6 linked regions of the Daphnia pulex genome follow. The protein of the gene in region 5 binds, or shares a complex with, the protein of the main gene of each other region. Links are inferred from orthologs where the notes say so. Each region holds a gene or a part of one and is shown on either strand. Other genes may lie near its edges. The genes, in order: PCI domain-containing protein 2-like, nuclear pore complex protein Nup98-Nup96-like, nuclear pore complex protein Nup214-like, E3 SUMO-protein ligase RanBP2-like, nuclear pore complex protein Nup153-like and nuclear pore complex protein Nup107-like.

Region 1 (3,837 bases), on a different chromosome or scaffold from region 5:
AATATTTAGATAATAAATAGCATCTTTTAGGGTCTTTTTGGATGTAACCAATGAGACGAAACGTTGTTTCTTTTATCTGTTTACATGCGTCTGTCACCACTCGGGTGCATGCTGTACTATGATTATTTGCCACTGAGATAACTTTATTATACTTGTTAAAACAGAACAAAGGAAACTTACCCGTCGATTCATTTGCAGTTCATCTTTAATGTTTGACACGGCATCGGTTAAGCTACTGTCATTAATACTGTTGGTCGAACTACTATGTCCATGATCGTCTTTTGATAAAGATTCTGTACGATTTTTATTCGTATCGTCTGAATGTCACAAAGAAAAATGTACATGTCATTGAAAAATGTGTTAAAGAAAATGTATTTACCTTGAGATGAGCGTTGTCGAATTGAATCACTTTCGGGAATAGTCATGTTGGAGCAATACGGAAATTATCCAGCCGAAAATCTAGAAGGGAAATATTTAAATTGGACCTTTGAAAATCCGTGTGCGAACGTATGGAAACGAAGTTTCCCTCCTACTATTTGCACACGTGATGCACTATATTTAATTGACTGTCAAAATAGGGCCACTGGGGCTCGTTGTCGACTAAAAGCGAATGATACAAAAGAAAAACTAGTAGTCAGGGGAGGCCGAAATAAGAATAGATCGGAAGTAGAAAAAGAGGGGGGAGAGAATGGAAACACGAGTGGTTCGGTCCACTCTTAAAGTAGAGCTGATTATTATTGACCATTCGCTGCTGATGCTGCTGTATCTTTTTTTACAGGGTTTAGCGTAAACCCGCCTATATACACACACACTGCAGTGTGTGTGGACTGCCCGCTGAGCGGCTAATCTATGTACTCAAGAGTTTTAAGCCATTTTGACATGTTTGTTCACTCTCTCTCTTCATACTTCTTAGTGAGGTATGAAATCATCTTAGACTGGCGCCACGCTTTTTAATTAGTCTGTCCAGGAGGTAGTTGATCCTTGTTTTTTTTTTTTTTACTTGGAACTCCTCTGTGCAATTTATATGTTATTGGAATCCCGACTCAATGTTTTATACATTTATACAGTACAGTCCTGCGTCAATTGTTTTGTTGGATTAAATCACATGCATTATCTCAGTTGTTGGATATGCATGATATGGAACCAGTTCTTTCTCAACTCATTCTATTTATGTTTATGTTGCGGCATGTTCAGTCGTAAAATAATATAATTCTTATTTTACTTTGTGGTTTTTCCTCCCTTTCGAGATCGAAAAACTTTGATAACAAGCGCGGCGTAAAATTTGAAATTGTAAATATGTAATTCAACTTGTTACCGCTAGATGACGTAAGAGTTTCTAGCAGACGAAGAGCTGAGGAACAATTCGAAAGCGACCGGTCGGCGTGATTATTGAAATTTTCTGTCAAATAATATCCAATTGTGTTTCGCCAAAATTAGATTTCTGTAAGCCACCGATGTCCAGTTTTAAGTTAGTCTCGAAAAATCATTTCTAAGACACTAAAAAAATGGCTAACTTGAATTTGAATCAATATTTACGTGAGGTAACACAGCGCGTCACAAACAGAATGCATTGTTTACACATCTTTAGTTGATTGTTTTTATTTAAACTATTTTAGATTCAATCTTCATGGCAATCTCGAAGTGGAACTGAAGTTTCAGTAAGAAATTCAAAATTAAATTTCTTGTAAAATCATGCTCATGCAATACTTCACGTCTTCTTATTTTGAAACCTTTAGGAACTCCTGTCATTCAATCACCCACATGTTATGAGCTCCAAACTTATTTTGGAGGGATTTGAAAAGTCTGTTGAAAGAATCGTGGAAGCTCCTTTTGATGAGATTGTTGTCCTTCATCTCAGGTATACAGTTGAACTTTCATCAATTTTAAATTTTGGTTTCAACTTTCAATTTTACCATCTAGATGCTTAAGCTATATCAACCAGCAAAAGTATTTAGAAGCATACTCTGAGCAAAGTGCTTTGGTACAGGCGTTTACAAAGCTCTTTCAGACACAGAAGGAAGACAACTGGGCTTTATTCATCATGTATGTCATAAGTTTAGATTTGCGTATGTTTGCAATCAAAGCAGACAAAGAATTGGCCAAAAAAGGAGCAGACAAACCAGGACAAACACTTGAAAAGGCTGCAGAGTGCCTCATGGGACTTTTTAGAGTGTGTGCTGCTGACAAGTAAGAAATAACATTTTGCGACTTATGTAGTAACTAGGTACTCATTCTTTTGTTTGAATTTACAGTCGGTCATCTGATGAAGATACAAAACGCTGGGGAATGCTGTATTTGGTCAACCAGCTGTTGAAAATCTACTTTAGAATAAACAAATTGCATCTTTGTAAGGCTCTTATTCGCGCAATTGATGCCTCCCAGTTCAAGGACCAGTTCTCCCTCAGCCAACAAGTGACTTACCGATACTATGTCGGCAGAAAGGCCATTTTCGAAAGTGATTTCAAAAGCGGTGAGCAGAGTAACATAAATTTCTAAAAGATAATCAATTCTTATATTTAATTTCGCATTTAGCTGAGAAATATTTATCCTACGCGTTTGAGCGGTGTCACAAGAACTGCCGCGCCAACAAACGACTGATTTTAATCTACCTGATTCCCGTCAAAATGCTTTTGGTATGACTTTCATTTGTTGTGTACACATAATGCGATGGAAAACGGAAGGAAGATGCTTAACGTATTACATTTCATTTAAAGGGTCATCTTCCTACAACCCAATTGCTGAGAAAGTATGACCTTCTACAGTTTAGCGAAGTGGTGCAAGCTGTTAGGGAGGGTAATCTCCGGAGACTCAACAATGCCCTTCTTCAACACGATGCCTTTTTCATTCGCTGCGGTGTTTATTTGATTCTTGAAAAGTTAAAAGTCACCACCTACAGAAACTTGTTTAAGAAAGTGTAAGGGATTTTATTGTTGGTGTTGAAAGATGAGCCGACATGATTTCTTTTGAATTTATAATTTTCAGAACTTTGCTCATGAAAACTCATCAAATCCCGATCGAAGCCTATCTTGAGGCCTTAAAATTCATGGGAGTTGAAGACATAGACTTGGACGAGACGCAATGTATAGTGTTACATAAATTAATGTGGCTTTTATAGAATTTGATCCATTTCTTTTTATAACGCAGGTATCATTGCAAACCTCATCTTTGAGAACAAAATCAAAGGGTACATTTCCAACAGCCACAACAAGCTGGTAATCAGCAAGCAGAATGCGTTCCCATCGCTGGCTGCTATCGTATAAGTTGGATCTAATATCTCTTACACACACCTGTTTTCGCGACTAATTGAAACAAAATAATAAATTTCTTATTGAACGAATTGTTTCTTGCTTCCTATTTTTGTATTAAGTAATAGTTTTAGCTGTTTTCTTGTTTCAAAGTCTTACATATTTGTGTTAGGTTTCACCTGACTACGCTATTCTACACCAAAACTGAGTGAATCTCAGGTAAATATTCAAATTTGTTTGTGACGATATTCAACGGTTTTTTCCCCCTAAATCTTAAGGATGATATCTTTTAATTGACTTGTCCAATCGTGGCCCTTTAGGAAGACGTGTCGGGGTGTACAAATTTCGGTATCCATTTTTAATCTCTCCACTCTATGGTGTGTCGACTTGTCCAATCCTGCCGCTTCACAGGCCTCGGGGAATTTCGCCGGTGATGCCGTAGCTAGACAAACGAATACCTGTTTTCCCCTACAAACCAATAAAGGTGACCGGAAGAAACTCATTAAACCGGATCAAGTACATGGGGAGAGAACAAAAATAAATACTCACCTCTGATCTACGTTGAAACAGTAGGAGACTGCCGTTGCAGTGT
Region 2 (3,969 bases), about 8.0 Mb from region 5:
GGGCGCTTGATTTGATCAATTCTTCTGTTTTTCCTGAAAACGCAATGAAACAATTAATGAATGAAATGCGTTCAACTGTGTTCATTCGAAGTGGCTTACCTGACGGTTCCAGCATTTTCCGGAAGAGAGGATGATCACTAGACTGAGAAATCTCACTTAGCGTCAAGATATACTGATGAATAGGCAACTGGGAACTGCTAGTTCCAGTAGTAGGCTGCGTCGTTCCGAAAGACATTGAAGTTGAGGGTGCTCCAATACTTGTGTTCCCAAAGAGTGAACCGGGAGCGCCAGTACCCATCCCACCAGTAGCTGTTCCAAAGCTAGGTGTAGTGCCAAAGCCAGAACTTCCAAAGGGAGTACCGCCAAATGGACTGGGCTTTGCATTTGCAGCCGATGCCCCGCCGAACATTGTATTTTGACCGAATCCTAGAGTCGACGGAGTTGATGTCACCGCACCAAATGTTTGCCCGGCTGGTTTGACTCCAAAAGCCGTTTGTCCAGGTGTGAACAACCCAGTTCCAGTAGTACCTATAAAAAATACAGTCGAAATTTTTTTTGGTGCAAACACAAACAAACAACAAAAACAATTTCCTGATCTAACCTGATGTACCAAATCCACCGAACGCTGGCGTCGTTGTTTGAGCGGGAGTAGTTCCAAATGCAGGGGTAGGTGTCGCTCCAAAACCAGTTATTGGTTTCGCACCGAAGATGTTGGATCCAGCGGACTGAGTGGTTGTCGTTTGAGGAAAACCAAAACCTGCTGTTGAAGTCTGAACTCCCATTGCTGGCTTTGGAGTGTTGAAAAAGCTTTGACTGGTCTGCAATAATCAGAAATAAAAAGAAAACGATAAGTAGGAAACAATCTCAAATAAAAAGGAATAAATAAAAATATTATCATTACCTGTTGTGGGGCACCAAATCCAAATGCGGGAGCGGGTGTTTGTGTCCCGAAAGCAGGAGTGGGTTGGCTCGTAGATTGGGGACCGAAAATCGATGAGCCAAAAGGTTTATTTTGTTGTTGCTGACCGAAGAGACTGGGTTGCTGCTGTTGTTGCTGTTGAGGTGCAGGCGTCCCGAAACCAAATGATGATTGAGTGGAAGTAGCAGGTTGACCAAACCCCATGGGTTTTGCTCCAAAGGCCGAAGGTTGAGCTTGTTGCTGTTGAGGCTGTCCAAATAAGCTCGGCTGTCCCATAGCTAAATACATACGAATTATCTCTTTTGTTCATCATACACAAGAAAAATACTTACTGGGTGCTGGTGTTCCGAAAAGGGGCGTCTGTTGAGTTTGTCCAAATAACGGAGTTGATTGGGTAGTCGTAGTGGTCCCACCAAATAATCCTCCAGTTTGTGGTGCGGTTCCCGGGGTCGGTCCTTTCCGTCCTACAGAGTAGTCTTCAAATCTAAGTTCTTCCAAAGATTTATTGTCATATTCTTTCATGCATGTTATACACTGATGGTGTGTGTTTATTGTCGTTTGGACATTGTTTTTCATCTAAAGACCACAAAATGAAAATTATAATTCATAGAGAAAAATATGTGTATGAATAAATATTATACCATAGAGTCTGTCCCTGTTAGAGGACTGAATTTTACTGGGGTACCAGTAATGGCTCCACCAGTACCACCAAATCCCCCAATTGTGTTACCAAAAGATGATGTCCCAAACAAACCAGTACCCGTTGACGGCGTTGCTTGTGCTGTGGGCTGTCCAAAAAGTGAGGTGGTTTGAGTGGGCTGGGATTGGGGTTGTCCAAACAAGCTACTGGAGGTACTAGTTGCTCCAAAGCCAAATGTAGGTTTAGCTTGAGCTCCAAATCCTGTATTGGTGGCTGCTCCAAACATGCCAGTTGTACCAGTTGAAGGGGCAGTTTGTTGGGTATTAGATCCAAACATACCAGTTGAAGCAGCAGGGGCTCCAAATAAGCTCCCCCCTGAAGTCCCACCACCAAATCCTTTTGTTACAAAACCAACAACATGATTAAGTGCTCTTTGATTGCAAATTAATGAAGTTCATCAAAGATATCTACTGTTTGATGAAATGTAACTATAAAACATAAAATACCTCCAAAGCCAGTATTAGTTGCAGGTGCTCCAAATCCTGCTGTAGGTTGTGCTGCTCCAAAAGTGGCAGTAGGTGTACCAAACAAACCTCCCGAGGGTTGGCTTGTTGTAGTACCTGTGCTTCCAAACATCGAGGTATTTGATCCAAAACCTGTAGATTGGAAAGTTGGTGCAGCCGTTCCAGTTGGCTTTGCCCCAAACGAAGACTGCCCAAATCCTGTTGATGTATTTGTACCGAAACCGCCTAAATGCAACAAACAATGGAGGGCAAACAAAAAATGTTGAAATTTAAATGGTGACGTAATGACAAGATAAGATACATTTGTAAACATGAAATATGCTTATGCAATGGTAAAGAATAATAATTGTCTGGATGCATTACCAAAAGTATTTGATGTTGGGGCTCCAAAAGTGGGTCTATTTTGTCCAAACATTTTTAAAGATGTATCATTGAAGAAGCCGGCACACTCCGCAGCTAAGTAAAAAAGAAAATGTCAAAAATGTCTCCCAATATTTATGGAGTACGAAATGCAACACCACAGAAGTCTTAATCTCGGAGAACTCACAATTTGAACTTACAATGGCTAGCGGTCGTCACACAAGTTTTTAGAACACAACAGTAATCTCAGCACGCGGGAGTCGTATGAACTTGCTGACAATTCAATGAAACGTTGAAAAGGCAAGACGGTGCTCATACGAATTACGAAAGGCAAAAAGCAGTTGCGGCGCACAAGAATGAGAATAGAAAGAAGGCCGTTTGACTGCGTCTTCCAGCGGTTAGTATTCATTAACTTGCATTTAGCAATTCAATATGTTTACACTATGATGACACGAAATTTAAGAGGTGTAAAATATTTTAATTAGAATTTGATTGTTGCAAAATTAAAGAGTTTTGGTTAGTTTTCGCAAAAATCTAAACACTGAGAGTCATTATAGGTGGCGCTACGTACATGGCCACCAAAGTTTGACCCTTGATTTAGTTGCATAGTGGGCCTTGTACTTCAGAACTAAACGCAACACTTACGTTTACTCCAAAATTCAATTTTTGAATTGTTGTGTTTTCTTGTTTGTTCAGGCAAAGTGGCTGACAGTTTATTTTTCAATATGAAAAATGTTCTTCTTTTTCTGAAATAGTTAAAGATTCGAGATATTTTTTGTTGTAATAAGTTTCGCAGTCGTGTTAAACAATGGGCCCTGGTCTTGCGAATTCGAGTGGGAGTTCTGTTGAAGAAGATGATGTTTTCAGTTCTCAATTTGCTGCTCTTCTTAAGCCAATTCGAGAGCTTACTAAACAAGGATGTTGGGAGCTGAATATAGCTGATAAATTGGAGGAATATGTCCAGTATATTCAAGATTTGCGGATTGAAGTTAATGTAAACGGGGAGCAAATGAAGCTAGATTTTGCTAAGGCTGCTATGGTTGTACAGAATAGTGCACAAATCTATAGCAAGAAAGTTGAGCAGCTCTGGCTTCTTCTCCAAGAAGTGATTGAGTTTTTAAGTTCGAATGGGTAACTAAAATCATGTACTGTACAATGTTTTACTTTCTAATAAAACACATTTCTCTCTACTCTCTATAGGAATGGTAATGAAAATGATGAAAATCAAACACCTGGCTCCAAGATAAGAAGAAATCACCGAAAAAAACATCACAAAGGAGATGTAGATCTTATCACAGAACCAATTCCACTGAAGTTTAGAAAGTTTGGCTCAAAATTAAAGAGAAAAGCTACAGCCAAAGACACAAAAAAGATCCAAACTTTACCGTATGAAATCTTGCAACTAGAAGAAGTTATAGGAAGCTTAAATTCTGTTAAAATTAAACTCTACACACTTTCAAACGAGCATTTGGGTTACCCCTCTGATCTAAGATCTAATTTCCCCTTTGACCCTTACACTTTGTTTT
Region 3 (3,930 bases), on a different chromosome or scaffold from region 5:
TTCTCCTCTTATACTTGACGACAAAAGAGAATCAGCCAGAACAGCCAGTTCAGACTCCCATTTTCTTGACTCATCACCACTCTTTGGTCTACAGAACACACAATTAATTCAATAATTAAGTGAATTTATGAATGGCAAATACCTTAAAGCTTCGAAGGCTGCACCGGCGAGTTTCAGTTGCTGTTCTTTGCTCTGAACCATAATTCGTTCAACACGAGATTTTAACTGTGATATTACTTTCGTATTGTTTCTAATTGCTTCATAAATAACCTGAGATGAAATAAATCATAGGATGCTGAATATTTTAGAGTAATAATAATAATAAAACAAGCTTACCTGAGTTATTGGGATTTCAATTTTGCGGGTGTCTCTAGTACGGTCTCTGCTAATCGAATCTAGGCTTCGTGAAGCTTCTATAAGCTGCTGTTCTATGTGAACGTGCAAGCGCTCAATGCCGTCCATTTTTCTGCGATTGCCTGGATCTAGAGGCCGTAACTTGAGCAAATGACAGAAATGAGAATTTTTGCGACGAGCACGTCGAACACGGGCATCTTCCAAAAGGGCGGCAACTTCTACCAAATCAGTGCACAAGCCTCGAACTTCTTCGTCTTGCACTTTGGTAGTATCGACCAGATCCACACCAAACTCAGCCAGATCGGATGTCATCTTTAACAATCGTTCTTTCTCCTCATCACTCGCGATCGTAACTTTCAAAGTCAACGAACGAGCTTTGAATTCCTTCAAGTCTTGAACGAATTTGGCCACTTCGTCACGTAATATTGCAGCGGCAGCGCCCATGGATGAATGGATGTTAGATTCATCTGCGATTGGAGTTTGACTTGTAAGTTTGACAGTAAGTGGAGTAGCTTTCGGGACAACCGGAACCGCTTCTATCTTCACAGCTGGTACAACAGGTGCAGTTGCAACTTTCGTCACTGAAGGTAAGGCAGGTTGAAGTTGGGGTTTGTTGCCCAAAAACGAGTCCGAAATAGGCGGATTTGAAGGTAATTTCGTTGTAACTGGGACTGCTAAGGAAGGAGCATCCGCAAATGCAGCAAATCGTTCTCCAAGATTTGTTCTAGGAAATGCAATTTTACCAGCAGCAGGTAATGGAGTGGAAGCTGCTAATGGAGCCGCCTTGAGACCAATTCCACTAAGCGCTGGTCTCTCACCAGTGACCGACAATTCTTGAGGAGCCTGATTGAATTTGGCAGCACCGTTCTTTAGATTGATAACATGAAACGGGCAAAGCAGACCATGAGTGCTGAGTATGAAAAGAATGGGTGCGGGCGGTAAAGTTTGATTGTCATCCCAACTGATTGGAATTTGGCTAGTGGTATCGATGGCCATTCCCAACGGGTTAGTCTCAGCATTCTCATTTAATGGTAGTTCAGCTCGCCATTCACCTTCTAGTGCCCATTGCCTCCATTCAGGGTGATCAGCATCTCCAGCTCCTGTTTGAGCTAGTACGGCAACTTCTATTGCGTTAGCTGAACAAGCCAATAACACATTCCATGGGGATAAACTCAATGTTAGATAACTAAAAAAGAAACAAAATTCATTATATTGATAATAAAATGAAAAAAATTCGTATACCTGTGTGGTCTTTCAGACGGACTTCCGTAGCAAACATCGTCATAATCTATGAAAGTTGTTGCCCCCGATTTTTGTACGTTGACTATGTAGAGGTGGGGACGAGAATTGGGTTCATTTTGATCAACAAACGTTACAAGGAACTGAGTTGTAGAAAGCCACTGAAGTCCACAAACCATTGGCTGAGTCATATGGACATCGCTACCACTAAACGCTATAGTCTTGGCTTCCTTTAAATCAGGCTTATACTGAACTAGTTTACTAGGCCTGGCCACAACTAGCTGTTTTCCTTTGGGACTCCAACAGACTGACCTAATAATTCAATAAAATTAAGAAAATAACATACATACAAAATAGGATATTCACATACTGGGCTCCTGTACTTGATGGAAGGCTATTTATAGTGAATTGAGTGTTGTTGATCTCCACTGCAACTAAAGAGCCATCACTAAGACAGACAGCTACTAGAGTTGGTATAACAGGGTTCCACGCACAATCTTTCACAGTAACTCCATCAGTAGACGAAAGCCTGACTTCCTGGAAGGGATTCCATTCACCTGACTGAAAAAGATTTTAAATCTGTTTCAATCACACAAAATGAAATTCCTTAAATCATACCTGTCTTGCAAATCCACGAACATCATACATCCAACCTACTGAGCATCCAGATTTTTGAAGGCACACCATTAAGGTAAGATTATCAGAGCTCAGTGTTACAAAACTAGGTTTGTTGGGTAAAAGAATTTCCTTGATGGGAAATGATGATATTTCTGATTTTTTTGATGTTGTATTGTCAATTTGTATAAGATCTGAAACTTTGATGACAACAAGTTTGTCAGGTGTCCCAACAAAGATCAGACCAAACAAATTAGAAGTAGCCAGCAATGATGTGGTGTCCTGTACATCATATTCCTTTTTAGTGACTCTAAACTTACACAGCTGTTTCATTTTGAAGTCCTGTTGTTACAAGTTAGATTGGTTGAATTGAAAGAAAACAATAAAAAAATGTATTTTAAAATTACCAAGACTTCAACAGGATCAGGAACGTTTGCCATTATCAGTTTCAATAATCAATGTAATATTCGGATAGAAAATCACACCGCACTTTCAACCTTATTTTGTTGCAAAGCCAAAGCCGGTCGAAATTTTATGAAATGTCTAACTGTTTGAGTGCCTCACTGCCTGTCTGCTTGTGACAAGTGAACGCCATCTATCAAAGCAATTTGAATTTTTTTAAATTGTAATAACTCGCGGTTCTTTTTTTTGAAAGGGTAGGGGCTGAGGGGTAGTGTTTCCAATTCTGATCACTTTTGGGGCTATAGTGGAGTTAAGATATTCAAAAGGGAAGGCTTACGTGATACGTCAACCAAATTGCAAGATACAATATTTTCATCAACTTGGTTCATTGAAAACCCTGTTCAAAACGATTAAACAATAAACATTCGATCAAACGAATCATATTCGAGGAATAAATTTACAAATAGGGACTATATAATATACGATAAATCTGATCGTGGTGCACGGTCTCTTTATACGGCAAATAGTCTCTCTTTGAACTAATTAACAAACAAAATTAACTTAACTTAACTTCTAAATAACTTAACATCTATAAGTAAGATAAACTGGCACCTTATCTATTAGGCTACACATTCTGGTCGGTCTGCTCAAATCTGGCTCGATTGGACATTATTATTTTTCAAGAGATTCAATTGGATGATAATTCATGTAACCTTAGTCTAGCATAATTAGACAAAGAATATCCAACTAGGACAAACTTTAGATCCGACTCACTTCCTCATCCCAACCTGTGTGTAGTTCATTCATCTCGATCCCTTTTCTTTATCAGTCCGCAAAAGATGGAATTATTTTTTTTTAAATTTTCTATTCAAATAAACAATTATTGGTTTAATTTGATCAGATTCAGAAACAGCGACACAGCGACGCCATACGGCCGTAGCGCATAAATTCATTTTTAAGCGACGCAGGGAGAAAAAAGATTACTGCTAGTAAACTCTGACTAATCGTTTATTTAAAACTTTTATTTCTTTATTTGTATCAATTATAGCAAGAAGCCAGGATATGATATTTACTTGGTAGTTCGGATAAGCCGGAGATATGGATGCGGGCTTGTATGCAGAGGTTTGTATGAGGAGTACGAAAGGATAGGCTGGGCTAGGGTAGGAAGCTGGTTTGTATGCAGCTTGTTTCTCCGTCGTGCCATCCAAAAATATTTCCTTGTAATAATGATTGTCAGAAGTGGGATTTGAACCCACGCCTTCTATCGAAGACCAGAATTCCTATTTACCAAGTTTTAGTTTGGCAAGCACCTGCTTGAGT
Region 4 (4,134 bases), on a different chromosome or scaffold from region 5:
GGTTAGACTGCCTAACTTAGTCTCGACCTTTTCAATGACTTCTGAAAGTTTTTGATCTAGTGGATGGAAACGCTCCATTCCAGGACTACGAAGGCGATCCAGTGTGATGTAGAACGCGTCTCTTGATTTGTTCAACAGTACATTGGCTGCTGATCTTGATTCGTACACGGTTGCTCCCTTGCGTAACTCTTCTTCCGCAATCTCTTTGAAGAGGAGCCCTTGGTAATATGAAGCGTACGGATCAGAGATCGCCTGTAGAAGACGAAGTGCTTCTTCACGTCGACCAGAACGCCACAACTGGTATCCAGAGAAAAGTTTCGCCTCTGATATTAGGCCGTCAATATCAGCATCTACTGAGCGAAACTCGAATAGTCGTCCTAGTGCGAGAGATTTGATACATTGATAAAGCTACTTGCGTTTAGAGATTAGACAATGATTTTTATAGATTACTTACCAGATAAAGGGGGAGTGTATCTATTTCCTGTATTAGCCATTTCAAGAAAGATTTTCCAATAACGAGTCGCCTGACTTTCAAGGGCCTCTGTTTGTTCAACTGTCATCACATCTGTGGAGATAGGTGCAGGTACGTCAACGGCAGGGAACACGCGGCTTTTCCCAGCCCTGGCCACAAATGTTCGAGCGAGCTTGGCCACGAGTTCCAGTGGAATCCCATGTTGGTTTCCAGACAGACGGATGACCTCCAAACCTCGTTGCAGAGTACGGCGCAGCTCACTTAAATTTTCTTTAGCCGATCCCGAGATAAGTTTGATGGCAGATTGCCACCAGGCCGACTGCTGGTCTGTGCACAGCGATTTTGTCAATGCAGCAGGCACCGTTCCAAACACCTTCGAATCGTTTTCCTCCAAGGAGACGGTGCTGTAAATTGAAGCATACACGAATGACTCCATGTCTAGCGCAGAAAGAGTCTCAGGTGCGCAGGAATTCCAGGACGCTGAAGAGAATGGGATATCGCGCATGAAGCGTGAAGATGTCAAGATCTGACTGAGATCTGATGCAAAGTCAGTTTCATTCAGTCTGCGATGCATGGTAAAGTATCTTAAGCCCAACCAGACCACTGGATGTAATTCGTTAGAATAGAGCTGGAGGGCGGTTTTATCAAGTTCAAGCAAATCAGCAAAAGAAGGTAATTCCAGTTGTTCCTTGGGAAATTGAAATTTTTCTCCGAAATAAGGGCGCGTTGAGGCGCCACCGAAGACGGTTTCAAACATCTTGCGTCGTCCGTCAGGATTGTCACACCTCTTGACAGTGTCCACCACCCATTTACGACCTTCTCTGCTTTCCCAGGCGACGATGCAATGGCCACATTGACTCTGACGGTATCTGGCAGTCACAATGGTTGAATCTAGAAGTTTTTTGTCGCCAAACTGATTGGGGGTTCCAGTTGTACCCTGGTTGTAAGCGATGGTGAAGAGAGTAGCAGCATAGCTCAGGGCTTGGTACTCATCTTCGAGGCCGGCTAGAGCTTTCAGAAGAACGACTAAACCAGCTTGAAAGTACAACTGACACGTAAAGTGTACCAGAATATCTCGCTGAACGCCGTTTTCTTTCGCTAGTTGTAAAGTGACGTCCAGTGATTGCAAGGTCGGTAGTACCTCACCGATAGATTGGGCTGATTTAAGGCCTTTACCAACTCTAGAAATCTTAAGAAACGATAGTCGGTCTACAGCATTCAAGTAGTGGAAGTAGAAATCAGGCCCCACTTTGTGGTCCAAAAGCTTCTTGTAGGATTCAAGGACATTCAGAGCACAATTGTACCAGTCTAGCTCTTGACTAAATACTTGAAGGGATTCAATCTTGAGCATATGTTCATAAGCTTCCTTGACTCTGTTTGAATCAAGATACAACTTTAAAAGGTGGATACGAAGCTTCATGTCACCTGGTTTGCTGAGCATTTCATTTTTCAGTTGATCTTCCACTGCTCCTTTTACTTGGGAATTTGATGACAGCATTAGCCTCTGTCTCAGCTCAAACACTACACTGTGCTGAGGCTGCAATGCTTCAGCTCTCTCCAACCAGCATTGCTGAAGATCTCTGTTGGCTGGGCTGGTGGGTAACTCACAAACCAAACTGCAGATCTTGAAAACCAAATCTCGTTGACTGCTATCAATATCAAAAGATCTTTTGTATGATCTGACAGCTGCCTCTTTTTCACCTAAAGACTCTGCAATTTGGCCAGCCAGGCGATGGCCTGGAGCTGAACACTCCTTAATTGCAAGATATGAAGCTAGATATTGTTTGGCTATCTTGTGTTCTCCAATTTGATGATAAGACTTGGCAAAGTTGAAGCCAAGGAGTTTTCGCTGTAAGAAAAATATAAAAAAGTTTTCATTACACATCATTTGTAGGCACAAGCAATTATTTTGATAAACTATACTAAAATATTGACACAGTGTGCAACATAGACAGTCAGAGACGAAATAAGTATCTGGAAATTCAATACCGCAATACTCAAAGGTCAACACGAAACTGTTATCGACTAAATTTTAAACCGGCTTCTCTAACTTCGTGAAAATCAACCTGAGTTAAGAAACGTTGATGCTCACCTCATTTTCGTTGTTCACTTTCTTCTGTAGATCTTGAACATGTTTGTCTACGTCTTTCTTGGTTCGAAGCATTTTTCTTTTAAAAAATTATCGCTTCGATCATCACACAACTCGAATTACTAAATCGGCCACTTGACAATTTACTGGATTTCCGATTGAATATGGAGGAGCTAGTGGTGGCGCAATAAACTCTCTAGTTTCCCTCGTGTGGTAGGATCGTCGCTGTTGCCAAGTCGCCATTAAGTCAATCGAGCCCTGTTCCCTCCGAATTTATTCAAATTCTTTTCTATTGCCAGATTGCTTTAAATATGTACAAAAGCATTTGCGCGCGATTTTGTTTTCGACAATGACTCACTCATTCGATGACAATGACAAAAAAACTCGCTCTGAAATCTTGGAAAAAAATAGTGATTCATTTTGCGTAAAAGACTAGTGCAATTATACAATCAGTACCAATAAAACCAAGCTAGCTACATCAGATATAAATAGAGATAAAGGATGTCGAATAATATTAAGGTCCTAAAGCTAAATGCATTGATAACATGGTCCGCTAATCGGAATGGCTTGGAGTCTAGCCGTAAATATTTGATTTCTCAACTTGTGTCTCGTTCCCGAACCTTAAAAATATAACCAGACGTATCCCTTCAACTAGTTATTGATCAGGCCTTTGGAAACGTGCCAGATAATTCGCCTTCACCAATGAGTGAGAAATTTTTTTCTCTTAGTGCCAAGTAATCAGTGAATTGGCAAGGAATCACAATCTTTTATCTTCATATAGTGGGCCTATAGAATTCGTTTTCACTTGATATTTTTTCGTTGAAAATAATAAAATTTACGAATAAACGACAATGAAGTGTAATTCTAACTTAACAAAATATGCACATCCACAATAAAAAACAATTCACACATCGATTAATTTCTGCAAATTAAGGCATAAACTTTGAAATTTAGTCGGGTCTTTCTTAATGAGCAAGGGATTACGCTGGAACCAGGCTTCCGTCATCGAACGAATGTCGCTTTTAACGCGTTGGTTGTTGGACGCCAAAGAGATCAGGGCAGTGACGGCCATTGTAGACGAAGCAATATCGACATTGGCTGCATTGCCCGTTAAAAGGCGCACAAAGAGAGGAAGAACGTTACTGGCCGATAACAAAGGGCTTTTGTAAATGTTGTGGAAAGCCATGTTACGTAAAATGGATAGGGCGTGCTTGTCGGCGCCGTAAGGATGTGATACCACGTCCACAAGGGTTTGGGCAACTCTGCTATCCATCAAATCCGGCAGAGACGGTTCCGGGAAGACTGTCAGAGCGGAGAGAAGGCGAGCTCGAAGACGAATTAGCGATGTCAGAGCCCCGTGCTGCTGACGGTTGATGATCCTTTTAAGATAAACCGGATGCCAAGTTTGAGCTAAACTGTTCCAGTACTTGTATTTGGCAAGGATCCGGCGACATTCAAGAGAAGAAACGGAAGCTAGAAGCAACTCGTGGATAGCCTCGATGATATTCCAATCCTCGTCGCTGATTGGCGTCGTTTGGCGAGCTACTAAAGCTTCCTTTTCTTCCAAATAATC
Region 5 (3,971 bases):
ACACAGAACATTCCCATTGAGCGGCGGTCATTTTAAATTGATCACCGAATCCTTTTGTTGGAGGCGCAACAGGAGCAGCAGCAGCAGCAGGAGCAATAGGCATTGCTTTTACTGCATTGGGGGCTGGAGATTCGCATGCCACACACGAAGATTTGTCCTTGGAATTGGGAACGCAACAGACAGAACATGTCCAAGAATCGGTAGGTGCCTTGAATTTATCTCCAAATCCTGAAAGAACCGGTGGTGACTTAATAACTGGCTCCAAAACGGGCACAGCTTCTTGACTTTTCCCTCTGAGAACATCAAGGACACTTCCAGATTTCAATTCCACTTCTGCGGGTTTAGTTGGAGTCTCCTTCTCTGGTGTTTTTTTCGGAGAAGCGTTGACGAGCAATGGGGAGCTGAAGTTGAAACTGAGCGGCTTCGAACTGACGGCTGCATCTACCTTGTACGGACTGACGGTAACCAACGGTGCTGAAAACGTGAAAGCTGGACGAGGTGTTGAGGTACTCGTCATTGAAGAACTAACCAATCCATTGGAACTCATTACTGCTGCTGTTTTCACTGAAGTCTTCGTCGATACAACAGTTGCTTTTTCTACCACCGAGCAAGGAGGTAGCAAGTTGAAACTAGGTAGACCTGCTATACTAATGGGCATTGGCACAGCAGTGAGCTCCTCCGACTCTACATCTTCATCCTCTCGAATACGAGGAGCCGATTTGCGAAGTGGTGCTGACATCCTCATTCGCATCTTGCCACCAACCTGGGCACTGATGGGGGTGCTCGATACTAGTGCTGGTTCTATTTGAGACAAGTTTGCTGGAGCTGGTCGGGTGACAATCTGTGCCGGAGTACCGACAGATAATTTGGAAGTTGGAGGTCCCAAATTTGGACGTCGGCGACTCAAACCAAACCCTTTAAACACAAAGCGAAATTATTATAACGTTAAGCAATTCATAACTTTTATCAATTTACCAGTGAACGAAAGTTCTTCGCCTTGTAAAGAAGTGGATCGTTTACTGTTGGATGCAGCAGGAATCCTTTTTGCATCTCTCACTGGTGTTGACATGGCTTCGAGTGCTTGAAGGATTCGTTGCGCTGAACTACTAAGTACAACATTTGACGAACTGGTAGAAGCAACAGAACTCGAAGTGGATGGAGCTGAAGACGCAGGCCTAGCCTGAATTCGACTTCGCACGTATGGGAATAGTGCAGCTGAAGGTTGTAAAGTGGCACGGCGATAAGCTGAAGCACCACCGTAAGTCGTCTTACCAGCATAAAATGGTGAGTCTACAACACTCTCGTTCATTAAAGACCGCCTAGCCTCCTGTTGGAAGTAATAAAAGAATAGAGTCCAGACTTTGTTAGTAAATTAAATTCAAGACTTACAGCAGCCGTAGGTCCAAATGAAGTTATATTGAAGCGTGGTCTCTTGCTTCCATACGATGAAAGTTGAGGTTGGGAAAGGTCTCGCTTGGCAGCTGAACGATTGAGTGAAGTGTCGTCTTTGTCGAAAAATGAGCCACTAGCCTCTTCTACAAATCAAAAACAATACATTAGACTCATTTGTAAGCAAAATTCTTGACTACAAAATGATGAAAATGTCATTAGAAATCTACCTGTATCCTTGTGGAACCTTGATTCTTCTGTGGGAGTTATACCTGAACTTGTATCATGACCAAAAGTATGAAGGCTGAGAGTTTTGCGTCCACGGCTATTTTTTAGGTCAACTGCTAGGGACTTGCTCAAAGAGCTTCCAATGATTTGCAGTGAAGATTGATTAATAGAGAGAGGTTCAGCAACTCCCAAACTTGATAGTTCTATATTTCTGCTCTCCCTCTTATGCTCGAGATGTGGTAACAATGAGGAACATCCGCTAGTTGACTCTGAGTTGGAGTCATCATCACCTGTCAGAGGAAATGAGATGTGAGATGTCATAAAAGTTTGAAAATCAGTGTTTAATACAAACCATTTGTTTGAACGATTTGTTCTCTTGAACTTGATTCAACCACTACTGGCTCTGGAAGTAAGTCCAAAGAAGGGACATTTGGACGAGCTCTTACTGCAAGTCAAACAAAAAAAGAAGCATGTGTTACACAGTTTGAAGGGAGCAGAACATTGATGAAAAAAACTTACTGTTGCTTTGTTCTTTGGATGTCCCAGGTGGTCTGCGAAATATGAAGGACTCTCTTTCAACACCTTCTCGGTGGGAGCTGTTACCATTGCTGGATGAACTGGTTGACGGCACAGGTTGTTCTTCCTCAACTTCATCATTTTCACTATCTTCTTTTTTAGCTGATGTAGATTGTAACCAATTCACCAGCCAAGAAGGTTGTGGTAACAATCCAGTAACTGAATCTGTTACTCGCCTCAAAATCGACTGATAGACAAAAAGCCGGATATAGTTGGGGTTTCACAAACTCACACAAACGTATTTTAGTCTTACCTTGGGCCTTTCGTATGGTTTTGAATTTTTGCTCCGCCTTGCCTTGACTTTACCTAAATTATCTTCCCACATGACTGTTTTAGAAATTATCAATCAATACGGAAATCAGATACTGTTGCAAGAAAACAGCTTTAACCCGTCGCACCACGACCCACACGCGGCGAGGAAAAAAGTGCCGAGAAAAGATGGCGGATTTTTTTTAAGTTTAGAAAGATCTGATTGGCGGTTACGAGAAACAAATGAAGAACGATGTTGCTCAAAGAACTTATAAATTTATCAGTAGAGGGCGTTTGTGACGGGCTATAGTTTGGCTCCAGCGGAACCCTTCTCGACCATTCTCGATGAATCAACCGATCGAACTAAAAGAAATTGCCTAATTCGCATGCGGTAACCCCCTCCCCCCATGCATGAAATTAATTTTCATTTTGGCTAGCGCTGTTACATAAAACAGCCACTAGTAATGTGTGCTGCAAATATAGGTATCACGCTGCGCCATGTAAAAAAAAACGCAAGTTCTTTAATGCAGTAGTGCAGTATTACGTAAAAGTATGATCAGTATGATTGCATAATCTTAGAACTTGCACCCATTTTTTTCTGATTTTCGTTCTTTTAGTCAACGGTACAGATTATTCATTTTCAAAATTCTTTTTTTTTCTTCCACACATGATAAAGAGTCAGCAAGAGATAAGCTCCTGATTTTATTTGAAAATAAATACAAATAACCGTTAAATGAAAAATAATGAAATAAAAAGCTGAACCGTGTACAATGTAGAAGGGGGAAAAAAAGAGTGAAAGACAAAGAAAAATAGTTTTGACTGCAAACCCACAAATGAATAACAAAAGAAAAATCGTGATAGCGTGCTTGAATATTAAGTTAAATGACACAAAAACTAAATTAAATAGATATGAGACAATCTCATTTCAAATCTCAACATATCAAACAGGGCATTATAGGAAAAACAAAATTATTGGGGTCCTGTGCTTCGTTGATCTGCGTTTTCTTTGTTGGGACCAACGGTGTCATCTTGAGACCCTTCAGAAAGCAATTTCATCATATTGGAAGCAGCCTGTGCAAAGAATTAACAAAAAGAACATCAATTAAATAATTAACTTAAGCTGATTGCCAAAATATAGTCAAGTTATGATTACGTTATCATGGGCTTCTTCCAAAGTGGCACCAAGTCCGTGCGACACTTGCGGAGGATTTGTATTCAAGGTCACAAGGCTAACGAAATCTCCTTTCTTGCCCTAATAATATTACATTAATTCCAACAGTAAATTAAAATTAGTTTTTAAAATGTTTATTACCTTTGGAAAATCGGAAAACTCGACCTCGTATTCCAGTACTTGGGCCAAGTACCTTAGACGTATTTCCGGGCGCAACCCTCCAGAAGTCTAAAGATTAAGTAATAAATATATGATTTTAAGAAGTGTTGGCAGAGGCATAAGAAAAACATGCCTTGGGCGGACGAGACGATTGAGTAGTTTCTTTAATTCCAGTGGCATTCGATGAATCGGTTATGAA
Region 6 (4,262 bases), on a different chromosome or scaffold from region 5:
GGGATGCAAGTTTGTCGCAACAACTGTTGTTGCTGTTGTCGGGGAGAATTTTCCTCCTCGAAGGACATGCTATCAACCATCCAGCCTCCGTCAGGAAAAAGTAGGACGTTATACAGTTTGTCAATAGCTGATTGCGTGAGGGAATCGACGGCTGCCTGCCAGCGTTGAATTTCAACTTGATGTTGCTTAAGATGCTGTTCTTTGAGTAAGTTTTCAGTGAATGATAGTTGAGAACTGGCTCCTCCTCGCTGTTGTTGAACGGTAGCTTCTGTTTTCTTGGGCTTGGAGTGATGGAAACGTGTGAACCATTCTTGAAAGGCGTCTAGTGCATCAATGTAAGTCTGGATGCAAAGGTATTCACGGACAGCAGCCTCGACTTCAGTGGGCAAATCCGTCAATCCAGTTCGTGATTCCCATAGTTCGGTCAATATGGCGACTGTGTCGGGTGGAGTCAACTGGAACGTCAGCTTCACAGCTTCAATCTGACGACGGAGAAGGTATCCCCGCATGAGAGTGTTGGCTTGGATAAGCAATTGACTTCGCATTGACGGATCCATTAACAACCAGCTCAGTGAACGTATCCGGCGTTCATCTTCTGCCGTGGTCGCTACCTAAAAGTATTAAACAATTATGAGTACGCTATGCACGAATGCAGATCGAAATCTATATTAATCACCTGTAGAGAAGCATCAGTGACGTGTTGGACCATTCCGCCCTGGTCGCAAAGTTTGATTACAACTTGTTTGGCGATAGCGTTGACATCAAGTCCGACATCCTGGGCCAAAGATAGGAGGCGCCTTCGCTCCTCGTCGTCACAGGATTCTTCCTGTTCCTCTACCATAACGAGGCATTGAGCATACAGGCGAATTTGATCTTCTGGCAAAGGCAATTGTCCAACATAGACAGCCGCCAAATCAGTTCGTCCAAGATTGACAAGTTGTAGAACGTAAGCTTCCAGGATGGATCCGATGGAATCGTCACATGAGCCACGACCGATGCGCCGGAAGAACAGAGCAAGATGGGACATTAGCCGGATCATGTGAGGGCGTAGGTGAACGCTCCAGCTGTCACCTTGTTTCAGCCAAGACGACATTTCTTCAAGTAATCCGTCAACATCATCCATAATAAGGTAGCGCTGTATGATCCTGCATTTCAAAATTTGCTTTGGTAAATTTCGCATTAGACAAATTAAAGAATTAGTCACCTATATTGGTCACGGCCTTGGGCGATCAAAGTCTTATCTCTGGAGGCAGCTAAAGTTGAGAAAATGGACTCGACGGTCAACTGTTGATTCCAATATTCGTCTGGTAGAATTTGAAGTTGCCGTTTATAATTGACACAGCGACGAAGTTCCTTCTCGACACAGTGGTCGATCATGGCACGCAGATGAGCCCACAGTTGATCTTCCCAGGAACGACAGGCAGGTAAAAGGGCTTTCAAATGTCCACAAAGAAGAGCAAAGATTGCGCGCTCTTCCTCCGACAACTGCACATTTTCGCACTCTTTCCAAGTCATCGTCTTCCATATGTCACGATAAGGATTTCCAGATGGCGACTCTACAGTTGAGATAAATATTTTTATCGAATCCATTGGTTTCTACAAATCTGGAAATTACCTTTCGTGTTGGCTACATCCGTGCGAGATTTCATGTTGGGATCATGAAACAGTTTCCATCCTTCCAAAATTGCAGCCCGAAATGGTTGACCTGCTCGGAAACAGAGCTGCTGGGCTTCATCCAGCTGTCCACAACGGAGTCGAGCAAATACAGAACGAAGCAAACGCATTTCATCTTCTTTGTCAAGTGGGTGAAGACGTCTGTTTTGTTCTCGGTTAGGAGCATCGGGATCCATTTGAGTAACCATATTTTGCTCGACGTTATCTGTACTAAGCCCTCGTTTTTTACTGACCAAAGAATGAAGAGTATTTTCCCAGCCGGCAACCGCATCTCCGTAAAACTCCACCTAATTAGAGTATAATATATTATTTAATAAAAGAAAATTTTAATTACATTAAAAAATACCTGGCTGTAATGGGAATCGTGATAGACATCAGCCGCTCGTTGTTCCAGCCAATCGACTACGAGCTGAGCCTGTCTGATTATGGCATTTTTGTCATAGAGTTGTTTTACCAAGTCATCTTCACTTGTAACATCATCCAATCCACTCCAGATTTCATCAGACTCCATTTCACTGTCATGAAATTCAGAGTTTAAACGATCTTGGTAGAGAGATGCAACCAATCTCCATGTGTCACGCTCAAGTCTCAGTTCTTGCTCCAATTCTTGTGCTTGTGATAGTTTGTTGTGTCCACGAGGGGCCATTTGAATCAATTTTCGCAAAGCAGATACTTGTTCTCCACATTCTGACTCATATTCTGCACACTGATTAAACACTTGATGTTCTGCCCCATATGACTGAAATGTTTTGAGGAATCTCTCAAATAGTTCTAAGACATTTTCTACTCCTGGAACTTCTTCTTCTAGAAGGATGCTCATGAGTTCTTCATTTCGTTTCTTTCGTGATACATTGCTCACTGTTAAGTCTGCTCTTGTCGAATCCAGATTTTTCCTTTGTAAACCAGCACCAATTCTCGTAAATGTAGGATCACTTTCGAAAATAGTGTGGCTAAGATCATCAGACATAAAAGACATTGTATTATGTCGGTTAGGAGAAGGGAGGCAACTGGCCCCCAACATGTCTGATGTCTTTTCGAGTGAGTGCTTTATTCTTCGACCAGGAAGATTTAGTTTGCCAGTAACAGTTGAGTTAGAACCGGCAATAATTGGAGATTGAAACTCCATTGTGCTTATTTTAAAAAGATACAATAAAATTCACTGTCTTATAAAGAAGAAGTTTGAAGGTTTGAAGTTTTCCGTTTTTCGTTTTATTGTAACGTAGCAGACTAAGTAAAAGGGCGTTGCAATTCACGTTCAAAGTTTTATTCATTAAAATAATTATAATTAATTGAAATTGAAATAGTAATGATTTGATTTTTATAATTGTTATAATATTTAATACAATTTTATTCTATTTTTTAACTCAATTTTTAAGATTTTATTTCAAACAATTTGAATGTTCACTTCACTTCCTTCCTACCCCTTCCTAGCAGACAAACTTAAGTTTGTTTTTGACTTTTTGACACGTGTGAAAAATTGTCTTTAAAAATCATGGCGAATTTCAATACTAAACGGCCTATGGAAGAAGATAGCAGCGATTCTTCAGAGGAAGAAGAAGAAGAAAATGATTCTCAAGATGAAGAAATGGGTGAAGATGAGCAACTTGGAGAGAACGACCGAGAGATTCAAGTCGACTTTGAAGGTCAATCACCAATCGCTGAAGATTTTCACGGTATCAAGAGTCTAATGCATCAGCTTTTCCTAAAGGCTCATATTAATTTAAGTGGTCTGACGGAACTCATCATTCAGCAAAACTACATTGGAAGTATATTACAGGTAATAAAATCTTGTGAAGATGTAATTTGTGTACTTTACTAAAGATATCTACTTCTTCAGCAATGTGTGGATAATGATGAACCTGATAGTGATGATGAAGGAAATTCTCTTGATGAAGTTTTTGGAATTACTTCTGTAATTAACTTGACACATCACAAGGTGAGATAAAATTTTGAATTTGTGTTACACAAATTACAATTAACCCAATTTTTTTTGTTATTTACTTTTCCTAGGATGTGGAATGTATTAAAGAAGTAAAAAAGTACCTGTTGGAAAAAACACAGAAGAAACTGAGTGGATTGTTTGATGATCCATCTAACCAGATAGGACTTATATTCAATGAAAGGTTCATAAACATACCACCTCAAGTTTCTGTTCCCCTACTGGAAAATCTATGGTATACAAGACTTAATTTGAATTATATCCCAAGTTTAAATGTAAAATTTTGTTAATAGTAAGGAGATTGATGAAGCAAAAAAATCTGGAAAGCCTTTTGACTTTACACACTTCATTTTAATTTCCAAACTTCATGAATCTACAAGAAAAGATCCTGAATCAAGGAAAAAAAAAGTCAAAGGAGGAGCCACCATATTATGGGTTAATGCAGAAGAAGAACCAATTTCAGAGGTATTCATCTATTAATTCCACGCCTAAGTAGAGTAGGTTGTAATAAAATTTCGTCAAATAGATGGGTGAAATATTAGGAGAATATTCTGTACGAAGCGAGTCAGATGCAGCAGTTTCCGGGACATGGGACGAAGATGACGAACAATTCGATCCGAAAAGAAGGATAGTCCTTATTACCGCAAAG

Evidence for each region.
Region 1: nuclear pore complex protein Nup153-like (region 5) and PCI domain-containing protein 2-like share a complex: the UniProt entries of both Drosophila melanogaster proteins name them as parts of the nuclear pore complex. The link is inferred for Daphnia pulex from reciprocal best matches to the Drosophila melanogaster genes Nup153 and PCID2.
Region 2: nuclear pore complex protein Nup153-like (region 5) and nuclear pore complex protein Nup98-Nup96-like share a complex: the UniProt entries of both Drosophila melanogaster proteins name them as parts of the nuclear pore complex. The link is inferred for Daphnia pulex from reciprocal best matches to the Drosophila melanogaster genes Nup153 and Nup98-96.
Region 3: nuclear pore complex protein Nup153-like (region 5) and nuclear pore complex protein Nup214-like share a complex: the UniProt entries of both Drosophila melanogaster proteins name them as parts of the nuclear pore complex. The link is inferred for Daphnia pulex from reciprocal best matches to the Drosophila melanogaster genes Nup153 and Nup214.
Region 4: nuclear pore complex protein Nup153-like (region 5) and E3 SUMO-protein ligase RanBP2-like share a complex: the UniProt entries of both Drosophila melanogaster proteins name them as parts of the nuclear pore complex. The link is inferred for Daphnia pulex from reciprocal best matches to the Drosophila melanogaster genes Nup153 and Nup358.
Region 6: nuclear pore complex protein Nup153-like (region 5) and nuclear pore complex protein Nup107-like share a complex: the UniProt entries of both Drosophila melanogaster proteins name them as parts of the nuclear pore complex. The link is inferred for Daphnia pulex from reciprocal best matches to the Drosophila melanogaster genes Nup153 and Nup107.

The regions. Positions count from the first base shown.
Region 1 is NC_060025.1:7,985,721-7,989,557, forward strand, and holds PCI domain-containing protein 2-like, read left to right. Parts: upstream 1-1,331; 5' UTR 1,332-1,505; coding exon 1,506-1,541; intron 1,542-1,616; coding exon 1,617-1,658; intron 1,659-1,736; coding exon 1,737-1,858; intron 1,859-1,920; coding exon 1,921-2,187; intron 2,188-2,252; coding exon 2,253-2,470; intron 2,471-2,532; coding exon 2,533-2,633; intron 2,634-2,714; coding exon 2,715-2,914; intron 2,915-2,982; coding exon 2,983-3,080; intron 3,081-3,144; coding exon 3,145-3,260; 3' UTR 3,261-3,337; downstream 3,338-3,837. Other genes in the region: b(0,+)-type amino acid transporter 1-like, read right to left, coding at 181-317, 380-425; threonine synthase-like 2, read right to left, coding at 3,512-3,713, 3,795-3,837. UniProt on the Drosophila melanogaster protein: Required for the export of nuclear mRNAs and involved in mRNA trafficking in the cytoplasm.
Region 2 is NC_060021.1:8,259,801-8,263,769, reverse strand, and holds the start of nuclear pore complex protein Nup98-Nup96-like, read right to left. Parts: upstream 2,801-3,969; 5' UTR 2,644-2,800; exon of another isoform or gene 2,631-2,643; intron 2,540-2,630; 5' UTR 2,499-2,539; coding exon 2,447-2,498; intron 2,309-2,446; coding exon 2,066-2,308; intron 1,956-2,065; coding exon 1,561-1,955; intron 1,496-1,560; coding exon 1,252-1,495; intron 1,198-1,251; coding exon 902-1,197; intron 819-901; coding exon 602-818; intron 529-601; coding exon 100-528; intron 34-99; coding exon 1-33. Other genes in the region: condensin-2 complex subunit H2-like, read left to right, coding at 3,252-3,574, 3,644-3,969. UniProt on the Drosophila melanogaster protein: Part of the nuclear pore complex (NPC). Required for MAD import as part of the Nup107-160 complex and required for nuclear export of Moe probably via its association with Rae1. Plays a role in nuclear mRNA export.
Region 3 is NC_060027.1:5,448,498-5,452,427, forward strand, and holds the start of nuclear pore complex protein Nup214-like, read right to left. Parts: upstream 2,801-3,930; 5' UTR 2,649-2,800; coding exon 2,616-2,648; intron 2,551-2,615; coding exon 2,212-2,550; intron 2,155-2,211; coding exon 1,964-2,154; intron 1,906-1,963; coding exon 1,597-1,905; intron 1,541-1,596; coding exon 337-1,540; intron 271-336; coding exon 143-270; intron 89-142; coding exon 1-88. UniProt on the Drosophila melanogaster protein: Part of the nuclear pore complex. Serves as a docking site in the receptor-mediated import of substrates across the nuclear pore complex including emb, RanGAP and phosphorylated Mad. Protects mbo/Nup88 from proteasomal degradation at the nuclear pore.
Region 4 is NC_060024.1:12,886,088-12,890,221, reverse strand, and holds the start of E3 SUMO-protein ligase RanBP2-like, read right to left. Parts: upstream 2,801-4,134; 5' UTR 2,637-2,800; coding exon 2,565-2,636; intron 2,322-2,564; coding exon 455-2,321; intron 378-454; coding exon 1-377. Other genes in the region: uncharacterized protein LOC124199486, read right to left, coding at 3,466-4,134. UniProt on the Drosophila melanogaster protein: E3 SUMO-protein ligase. Component of the nuclear pore complex (NPC), a complex required for trafficking across the nuclear envelope.
Region 5 is NC_060021.1:252,442-256,412, forward strand, and holds the start of nuclear pore complex protein Nup153-like, read right to left. Parts: upstream 2,801-3,971; 5' UTR 2,519-2,800; coding exon 2,447-2,518; intron 2,381-2,446; coding exon 2,137-2,380; intron 2,066-2,136; coding exon 1,970-2,065; intron 1,908-1,969; coding exon 1,620-1,907; intron 1,536-1,619; coding exon 1,390-1,535; intron 1,328-1,389; coding exon 976-1,327; intron 916-975; coding exon 1-915. Other genes in the region: double-stranded RNA-binding protein Staufen homolog, read right to left, coding at 3,412-3,513, 3,596-3,694, 3,755-3,841, 3,906-3,971. UniProt on the Drosophila melanogaster protein: Component of the nuclear pore complex (NPC), a complex required for the trafficking across the nuclear envelope. Functions as a scaffolding element in the nuclear phase of the NPC.
Region 6 is NC_060019.1:10,133,856-10,138,117, forward strand, and holds the start of nuclear pore complex protein Nup107-like, read right to left. Parts: upstream 2,801-4,262; coding exon 2,021-2,800; intron 1,962-2,020; coding exon 1,616-1,961; intron 1,557-1,615; coding exon 1,205-1,556; intron 1,146-1,204; coding exon 677-1,145; intron 612-676; coding exon 1-611. Other genes in the region: protein BCCIP homolog, read left to right, coding at 3,167-3,451, 3,512-3,610, 3,685-3,848, 3,907-4,078, 4,140-4,262. UniProt on the Drosophila melanogaster protein: Plays a role in nuclear pore complex (NPC) assembly and maintenance. Required for nuclear import of Mad. Mediates the association between the nuclear pore complex and a subset of active chromatin regions adjacent to lamin-associated domains.